Saccharomyces cerevisiae S288C: one gene and its partner. Changing the gene in region 2 together with the main gene of any one other region gives a genetic interaction. Each region holds a gene or a part of one and is shown on either strand. Other genes may lie near its edges.

Region 1 (3,964 bases), on a different chromosome or scaffold from region 2:
TTCATGTATAAAGTGTAAGCTAAGCCACCCGACATGTATAACGTACCACCAACCAACGTCAGTACCGTTAGACGATGTAATGTATCTGTAACTCTGGTATACCAAGCGTATTTGGACATGACTATCTGCGTTCTATTTTTTGTTCTCTTCCTCTCACCATTGCCAAACCGCTGTATAGATTTATGCTCCTTTCAATGCATTTATTCTGATCCTCTCCGATTTCGTATACCGGGTAACATTAATCGCAAGGAAGGAGAAGCAAAGCTCAGAAGTAAGGAAGAACTTCGAAATCTGCTTCCGAGAGTGAGGAAATAGTGTTTTCTAAAGAGTGTATTTCACAGTATGTAACATTATAAAGACAAAATACTTACTTAAGCAAAGTTATATAGAAGTGACAACGTGTTTTTTCGTTTTGCTATTAGCTTGTCCATTTTACGGTAAAATATACGGATGAAAAGAAAAATTGGGGAGAAAAGTACATTACGTTGACACCCCAATCATTAGTTGAACCCTAATATGCTTTTCGACCAGTTTTTAACGTTATGTAGGTACCTCTTGTAAGCAGGCTCCTTAACAGTGCCGAACAACCATTGCGTATTCTGCTTGGCCAAGTTGATTAAGTCGTCCTTCGTAGAAGTCTGTTTAACCGGAACACCGAATGATTTTAGGTACTGCAATAGGTCTTCTTGAGACCAGCTCTGAAAGGTATTTGACCAGGTCTTAGCGATTTGGTCCTTAGCATCATTTGTGTTTTTGGAAACCTTGTCAAAATCCTGCATAATTGTGGAGTAAGTCTGAGAATCTTGGAAGTCGTCCTTTTTGTCAGCAAACCAACCCTTTATGTCATCCAAAGACCAGTTACTGTTGTCAAAGTATTTTTGGTAGTCTTTTGGCAGGATCTTGAGTTTTTCGTTTCTGGATTTTTTGACTAATTCTCTCAATTGATGTTCAGTAGACAGCATTGAGTACTTAATACCACGAGCATCTAAAAACATTTTCAATTTGTCCTTTGGCCAAGAGTCTAGGCCAACCAAAAAAGTATCATTGATCACATTGTCAGTCTTACCTCTGAACTTGGAGTACAAATTTGTGAGGAAATTTTTAGAAGAGTCCCAAACGGAACCAACGTATTCTGGGGTCTTGGTCAAAAATGGAGAAGACTCTCTTTTCATATAGTCCAGGTACCAGTAGATATCATCTTTCAAATTGGCAGAATTTTCTTTGGCCATTCTAACCAAATAGTCGTGTTTCTTGGCCATGTTCTTGTCAATATTGACCTTGTGGCTCTCCAACCAATTGGTTAACTGATCACTAGACCACTTGTCAAATACAGTGTCTTTTATTTGTCCCGATGTGTCTAATATTTGTTGGTGAGCCAAATCCAAGCTTTCTAGCAAACCCAGACGCTGCTGTTCTGCCTTTTCTGAAGTTCGGTAGATGTTTTCCTTGACTTTCTGAACTAGCTCGTCCTTGCTTTGAACTGCCTTGTCGTAGTCGATACCATTGTCATTCAACCAGTTTTGCAAATCTTTGGTTGACCAGCTATCAAAGTAAGAGCTAGAAGGATAGTATCCCGACGACTTCAAAGATTTGGAAATCTTGTTGAAGTTCTCCTTAGCAGTCTTCACCAGCGAGTCCTTGGAAGCCTTAGCGTCGTCAACATCCACGCCGTTTTTCTTCAAGAAGTTACGTAGACTGTCTGTGGACCAGGTGTCAAAGAGCCAGTCAGAAACTGGGTGATCCGAAGAACCAGTATAACCAAACCATCCGGGGTTACTGTTGCTCACGCTACTGCTGTCACTAGACCACACCTGCCACCATGGTTTGGGCTGCGCGTGTTTGTCCCATACCTGCGATGCCTCCGTTTTCAAGTCCTCAATGGAGTCTGTAGCGTACTTTTCCAAGCTCTTCTTATTATCACGTAAATAATCGGCCAGGTCTTCCTGCGTCCACTTGTCGAACACTGAATCTGAATTGGCCAACACTAAGCCAATAAGCACAAATGATGCGGAAACCGCATTAACCAACTTGAATTGCTTCATCTTCTTCTCTTAATTAACAGTTCTTTTGTAGTTGTCTCCTCTTCTATTGCAGATCCTCTTCTAAACTCCGGTAATCTAATCATGCTAGGAATACGACTCCATGAGTGGCTTTAAATACCCTGTCGATCCCCTTTCACCGCCTCCTTGTTTCCTCCCTCTCCCTTATTTTCCTTCAGTTCCAAAGATCCCTTATTCTTCCCCTCTAAGGTGAGGCCGGCGTAATGCTGTTGCTTACCGACGTAATGGTGGAAAAGGTGAAAAAAGTGAAAATAGTGATATTCTTAGAGAAAAACGAAAACAACAAGTCGTGTCAAGAGGTAGTGTTTTGGGAAAGACGTCATAGAGAAAGGCAGAAAGCTTGTAAAGAAGTGGAAATAAAGATTGAAGATGAACTCGTTAGCTTCAAACACACCGCTAAATGGTACTCCAGTAAGCGAGGCACCCGCCACAAGCTCCGAGCCTGTGAACATGTTCGAGACAATGGTGGCTAACCCTATTAAAGTGTCTCGATTACAGTCTAATGGAGTTCTGACGGGACCTGCAGCCAATACTAAGTCCATCCACTATTCGCTGGCCAATTTTAATGTGTTCCAGTCGCTACCCAAGGAAACGGCCAGAGGTGTAGACGATTTGACGAGGATGGAGATGGCGTTACTGAGTGGGATACCGGAGGAGATTAAGTGGTCTTTAAAAAAATATCTTACGTATAGTAACAAGGCGCCATATATGATCAGCTTACGGACATTGCCGGACCTGTTGCCACTTTTCAAGACTTTCATATTGCCTTTGGAGCGCATCGTGGAAGGTCTTAACAAATCGTCTATATGTGATTCAAAGGCGATGGATTCTCTACAAATGGGTCTAAATGCCTTGCTGATCCTAAGGAATCTGGCTCAAGATACTGATTCGGTGCAGATACTAGTCAAGGATCGAGAAATCAAATCTTTCATTCTTTTCATTTTGAAGAAGTTTCAGTGCGTCGCTACAGGCGATAACAAGTGGCAATTGTACGAAGGAAATGCAACTTTTTTTAACGAGTTGACCCATTATACTCTGGACTTGATGGAGGCCATTTCGTCCTATATTGCTCCTGCAATGAAGGATGATCATTATTTCCAAACGCTGGTGTCCATCTTGAACTACACTAAGGACAGATACATGGTTATTTCTATATTGAGGTCTCTTTCAAGATTACTGGTTAGGTCCAAAGCTAACGAGGAAAGTGCAGCGGACAATTTGGACCATAAGACTCTTTCGTTGATCGTTTCCTTTTTACTGTTAGAATGCGATAGTGAGCTGATTATTGCTTCGTTGGATTTCCTCTATCAATACATTTTGCCCGGTTCTCAAAGAATCACTGAGTTATTCAAGAGTAAGGAGTGCTCTTTGATACTGGAAGCCACGCTGCCTAATTTATTATCATATAATATCGCCACACCAGATTACCATCTTTTGCAAAAGCACAAAATTAGGTTGATTAAAAGGTTGAAGCCTCCCGCTCCAAAGGAGCCTCCCAATTTATCTGAGGATCTGTTTCAACAACTTTTCAAACTTAACGAGCCCTTGAGGTCAACCGCTTGGTTGAGATGTTGCTTTGAGCCTGTACAAGAAGCAGAATTTACACAAATATCGCTTTGGAGATCCTACGAATCCAAATTTGGTCAGCCTGTTCGCGAATCCGGACGCAAATTGTTACCTGCCGTGGAATTCATCAAGAATGTCTCGAATGCTTTCAATAACGCCGCTGCTATCGTAATCACTGACCCGGTAACCGGCAAGAAAAGGTTTGTTATCAAGGGCATTCAACCAAGATTTAAAGCTTTGGGTATTGCAGACGGGGAAAGAGAATCCCAGGTACCCATTTCGGCACTAAAATCCAAATTTTTGAATGACTCTAAGGAAATTACACCTGCAAGACAAAA
Region 2 (5,417 bases):
AGCGAAAGTAATGGTGACAGTGAAGATGACAACGACACCAGCAGCGAATCATAGACCTCTTCTTGGCCTTTTATTCGCTGGTGCACCAAAATCGCGCCTTCTCTTTTTGCTGGGGTCATTTGCAATTTGACCCGATCTTCTTAGGGAATTAAGTTGCTTTTGGTCAACCAAAAGTGAATCCAGGTTCAAGGAATCAGGTAAGATTATCTGTCTTATGGTATTGCCTCTAATGTTTATGTATTGCAAACTTGCTATGTTGTCACTTGCAGTAGGTTGCTGTCCTCCAGTCAAGTACAGACTAGCCATCGCAATACCATTACTGTTCAATTTATTTAGTCGGGGTTGTGGTAGGGTCAACTTCACGTCAGTTAAGATAGCATTCATTTGTGGTGATACCGACTGCAGTGTACCCCAAACGGTGGTACCGTTTTTTAGTTCTATGGTAACCTGCTCATTGCGCAGCTTTTTTAAAAAGTTAACCAACTTCATAATCTTTTTCTCGACGATTTATAAACGATACTTGGAGTCATCTTTCTTCATGACAATTTCATTGTATATGAACATTTCATATATTTTATTATTTTAAATATTCATTGAAAAATCATTAAATACGAAACTCAGAATTTATAATGGGGAATACTTTATGTAATAATATAATCATAAAATATATAATTCTTATTATTTTATTATAAATGTATTCCATATATAATATATAAGAAGCCATGAGCTTTTACTACTTCTTGGTATCATCACGATGCAAAATTTTTACCCGTGGTACGAAAAGGTTTTCTTTAGGTTGGAACGACGGCTGGGTTTGAGCGGATGATGACTGAGGCTGAGAGGAGTTTGATATTTTTAACTTCTCTTGCAAAAGCATTTTCTTCTTCCTTTGTTTCAAAACCTCTTTACCCGCTTCCTCAATAATAACCACATTACTGTTCTTGGTCTTAGAAATGGTGCTTTTTTCACGATTTTCACGCTTCTTCTTGCCTCTGTTCCGTTTTTTCTTTGGTATCTTAGCGGATGCTTCCTCTTCTTTGAATTTCTTTTTGGCGTTTTTATTTTTCTTCTTTTTGTTCTTATTCTTGACCTTATCACCAGTTCCAACCAGCTCTGTTAACACCCTTTCTGTTCTTTCTGCTATTTTATTTTCTAACTCTATGCTTTTTGAGAATTCTTTTTCTAAAGATTTCAATACGCTAAAATCTTGGAATGAGTACTCGTCATTTTCATTCAGCTGTTTCATTGAATTCATAAATGTTTTAAAAATTTCGTCTTCTTCAATTGTTCCTACTAGCGCGGCATCCTTTTTTGATGTTTGAGTGAATTTCTTTACGTAGGGCGACAGTTTCATATCTGGAATTGTAATATTATCCTTATTATCAATGAATTTACAAGTTTTAATGAAATTTGCGCATTTTTCCAAGTCTGATAAGTTGTCGAACAAGAAATTGCACCGAGAATATGTCGAGTTTTTGAATACTTTACTAGAATAATGACCTTCAAAAAAACACCAGTCACTGTACTTGAGTTTACCCTGGATATCTTGCTTATCACCATCATCGTTATTATTATCTCGTAAGATGGCAAAAAATTCATCTGCAGTCAAATTTGGAGGTAGCAATCTAATAACAAGCTTAAATCCTTCATTCTCGGTTGATTTACCCAATCTAGCCTTTCTTTTATAGTTATAATACTCTCTGTTCCTTTTCTTGTTATTCCTTCTGCCTTTGCTATTGTTGTGGGTAGCATTAGTAGCATTATTAACCTTATTCTCATTCTTTTTAGGATCTACCGTCTCATTCTTACTTTTTCCTCTGTTCTTGTTATGATACCTATTTCCCCTGCCTTTCTTTTTCCCCTCACTATTCTTCAATTCCCCAGCCACATTGCTCATGATAGATTACTATATATTTCAGCAGAAATGTAAGTCCCTCAGTAGGTTTTCCTTTCCTCTTTGCTGATATATTCATGCAATAATCATCGACAATATTTTCTTTTGTATCTTACTTTTTAGGCGAAAAATTTTCAACTTTTGATCAGCAAACAATACACAAAATAAATAAAGGGATGATAAACCATAGAATAACAAAAGTCTTCCGAAATAGCATATGTACCAATCTACTCAATCATTAATATGAACACTGCATTGGATGATTTACATGGGGATTTGGTGACTTTAGAAGATAACGAAATCATCAATAATTCTGATCATTCATCTTCTCACTCTACTAGTCATGAGGAGGAAGACGAGGAAGAAGACGATACTGAGGATATAGAACTTATAGAAAAAGACGGCAATAAAATCCTATCAAGTAGAATTCATCCGGAAGACGAAATCATAAATGATGGGTTAAATATATGGATTCCGGTTCAAATGCTCAAGAAGAATATAGCAAAGTTCTGGTCCCATTTTCTAGCAATTGAAAAGAAATTAACGAAAGTTAAATGTAAACATTGTGGAGAGATACTAACAAGAAGCGATGCAAGTTTGACAAAAACCTTTAGATCTCACTTGAAAACAAAGCATAATATAAGTGCCAATAAAAACTTCTATTCCATGAATTTCACAGTAGGAGACTCCAATCTCAAAAACAATACTTCCAGCACAGAAATTACACGTAGACACGGCTATGATTCGTTAACCTTCAATTCCGACCAAAGTTTCAAATGCTTTGACATAGGAAAATTACAGAGCAGTAATTACCTTTCTATTTCCCAATTAGTAGCCATAGTCATAGCCTCAGAAAATTTACCGCTGAACTTCTTTGAGAATGTGTCCTTTAAATCTCTTTTATCAAAATTTCATAGGATCCCTCCTTTAACTACCAATATAATAGAGGAGTCAATTATAGGGTTGTCAAAATCAATTGATGAGTTGATCAGAAGGTCTATATCAAGGAATGATACACAATTACCCTTTACTATCCATTTATCCGATAGTAAGGAATCAAATCAACCTCTTTACTTGAAATATTCTAGGGAAATTCGGGCACAATTGTCTAACTTGGACTTATCCCATCTTATTTCTGTAAATTTTACAGAACTGGCTGGAAAAAGATCATTATTTTCTTTGCAACTGTTCGATAATACCAACAAAGTTTCGAAGGGTTTACCATTATCTATTTTTGTACGTAAAACAACGGATATAGATATTAGTGTCTGGCAGGAACAGCTCAACAATTTGTATTCGAAATACCCTGGCTTACAAAAATCGGTGATTTCTATAACTTTGCCTCAAAGCCATTATACAATGGTACTAGAGAATAGAAACAGTCATAATTTTACTTTCCATAGCGGGAGTGTGAGGGAGATAAAGTACCATACTTGCATAGTATCTGAATTACTTCATTGTTTTTTACAGCCGTTGTTTAATGTTCCTACTGAATCAATGCTGTCTTCCTTTTCTGTGGCCAAAGAAAATCATTCAGGAGGCTCTTTGTTAGACTCATTAATAGATTTTTCCCATATTGATTTATCATCTACTATTCTCGGCAAAATATGCTGTTTGATAGAAGAAGTTAACTTAAACGACTCCCTAAAATCGGATTTCCTATTATACTGCCAAAATTATACACAACCTAACTGCAATGAACTTACTTCAATCCTTTCCTGTAACTGCGATAGATTTTCAGCTTTGAAGAGTATCTTAGAAAAATTTGCAAACTTAGTTCCTTTCTTCAAGTCTATCAACTCTCATTTAGAAAATGAATCACTTAGTGAATCCGATTTTCGTCTAATAAACACGGTAGAAGAGACGTTAAGAACTTTCGAGCAATCAATTGAGTACTTTGCTTCTTCCGCTCCATTGAAATTTACCCATACCTTGGTTTTTATCATTAAGTTTGAGTTATATTTGACAGAGATTATACGAAGCTTCAAATTCACCAAATCTAAAAAGCCCTTTGAAAAAATCCTAGCAAGGCTTCTAAAAGTTAAAGACCTTTATTTACTTGATGATGTAAACTTGATTGGTGCTTTCCTGTATCCATCAATCTTCCAAAGTAAAAGCCTTCTAAATGAAATCTTTGGCACAACATCGGTAAATAAAATAGTTCATAACATGACCAAAATTGTTCTAAGGTATCTTAAAAACTTTATCAATATAACTAATTTTCGTTCCTCTAATAGTGGTGGGGAGAGCGGTCGGAATTCCGGTAATAATCTTCTTTCTGACTACGAGGCCATTTTTATGAAAGAATCACGGGACGTAGAGCTTTTATGTAACACCAAGTTAACCGCACCACTAACAGAAGATTCATTACTTGTCCAAATCATTCGGGATGATCTATTACGCTATGTCAACAGAATTGCGCATGAGCTGCCTAATGCATACCATGACTACTTAAATGATAATGATATTAGCTTCGATGGATCTCACTTTACAAAACATGAGTTATCTGAGGAAAACGACTCTAACTCGGGGGAATGGTGCCTAAATCCCATGGAAGAGACATTTGATATTCATATTCCTATCTCGGATTCAATTTGGAATAATTACATAAGCAGTAAAAACAAGATTGAAGTAATCGATATTTTACTTCAGTTGCTTTCAGTAAATTCGACATCTTCAATACGGTCAGAATTATCTTCTCTAACAGCTAATCAAGACTTCAGTACCAAGTTGAGTGAGGAAACAATTAAAATCAAACTTTTGAATTCACAGTTTAATCTCGAAAAAATTAATTTTCACTCTGGATCAATTTTCGATGCTTGCTAGTGACATAATATTCCAAAGGAAAGGACAATATACTTTCAAGACTTTATTTTCTAGGACAAAATTCTTGTCCATTGTATTATATTTTCTTAATGGCACCCATATATTTCAGGTAAACTACATATGGTTATACAAATAAAATAATATTACTTAAATTTAGATGTATAGGTTCAAGAAATAAGTTTTAAGGTATTAATATGGGCGGTCAACTCAAAAATTTAACAGTTCGATAATTTCAAATCCTTGAGGATCCTCATAACAATATAAGATCTTCTTGGCATATGATTTTAACATACGTATCTTGTTTCCAAGTACACAGCGGACAAGTTCTCCATTTTCTATATGTCTAATTTCAATAAAGTTACTATTAATTGCCACAATATAAGGGTAGGAACACGCGAACTGTTCTGGTTCCCCCTCCCAATGAAAACATCCCTTTGTCTCCTCCCTCTTCCCTTGCTTATTGAGAAAAAAGCAGAGTTCTGGAAAACATGCAAAAGTTGAATTTTTTATCGGAAACATGGAAACTACTTTGAACGTCTCTTTATACATGTTCGCTAAAACTTTGTTATCATGTAGATTTAAAAGCTCCCTCATTTTAAATCCATTTTTATCACACACTTCCGGTACGTTTAATATTTTGATATTTTTTTTACAACCAATGCAGATCTTATTCTCCAAAAAAGAAAAGGACAGAGGT

Evidence for each region. Genes that interact genetically often act in the same process or in processes that back each other up.
Region 1: mutations in ENV11 (region 2) and MSC1 together harm fitness more than expected from each alone (negative genetic interaction), as found in Saccharomyces cerevisiae (2 studies listed by BioGRID).

The regions. Positions count from the first base shown.
Region 1 is NC_001145.3:14,635-18,598, forward strand, and holds MSC1 (double-strand break repair enhancer MSC1), read right to left. Parts: upstream 2,043-3,964; coding exon 501-2,042; downstream 1-500. Other genes in the region: COX14 (Cox14p), read right to left, coding at 1-119; RSC9 (Rsc9p), read left to right, coding at 2,430-3,964.
Region 2 is NC_001139.9:630,784-636,200, reverse strand, and holds ENV11 (Env11p), read left to right. Parts: upstream 1-2,137; coding exon 2,138-4,720; downstream 4,721-5,417. Other genes in the region: U4/U6-U5 snRNP complex subunit PRP38, read left to right, coding at 1-54; mRNA splicing protein SMD1, read right to left, coding at 49-489; UPF3 (Upf3p), read right to left, coding at 734-1,897; Rho family guanine nucleotide exchange factor ROM1, read right to left, coding at 4,928-5,417. UniProt on the Saccharomyces cerevisiae protein: Involved in vacuolar processing and morphology.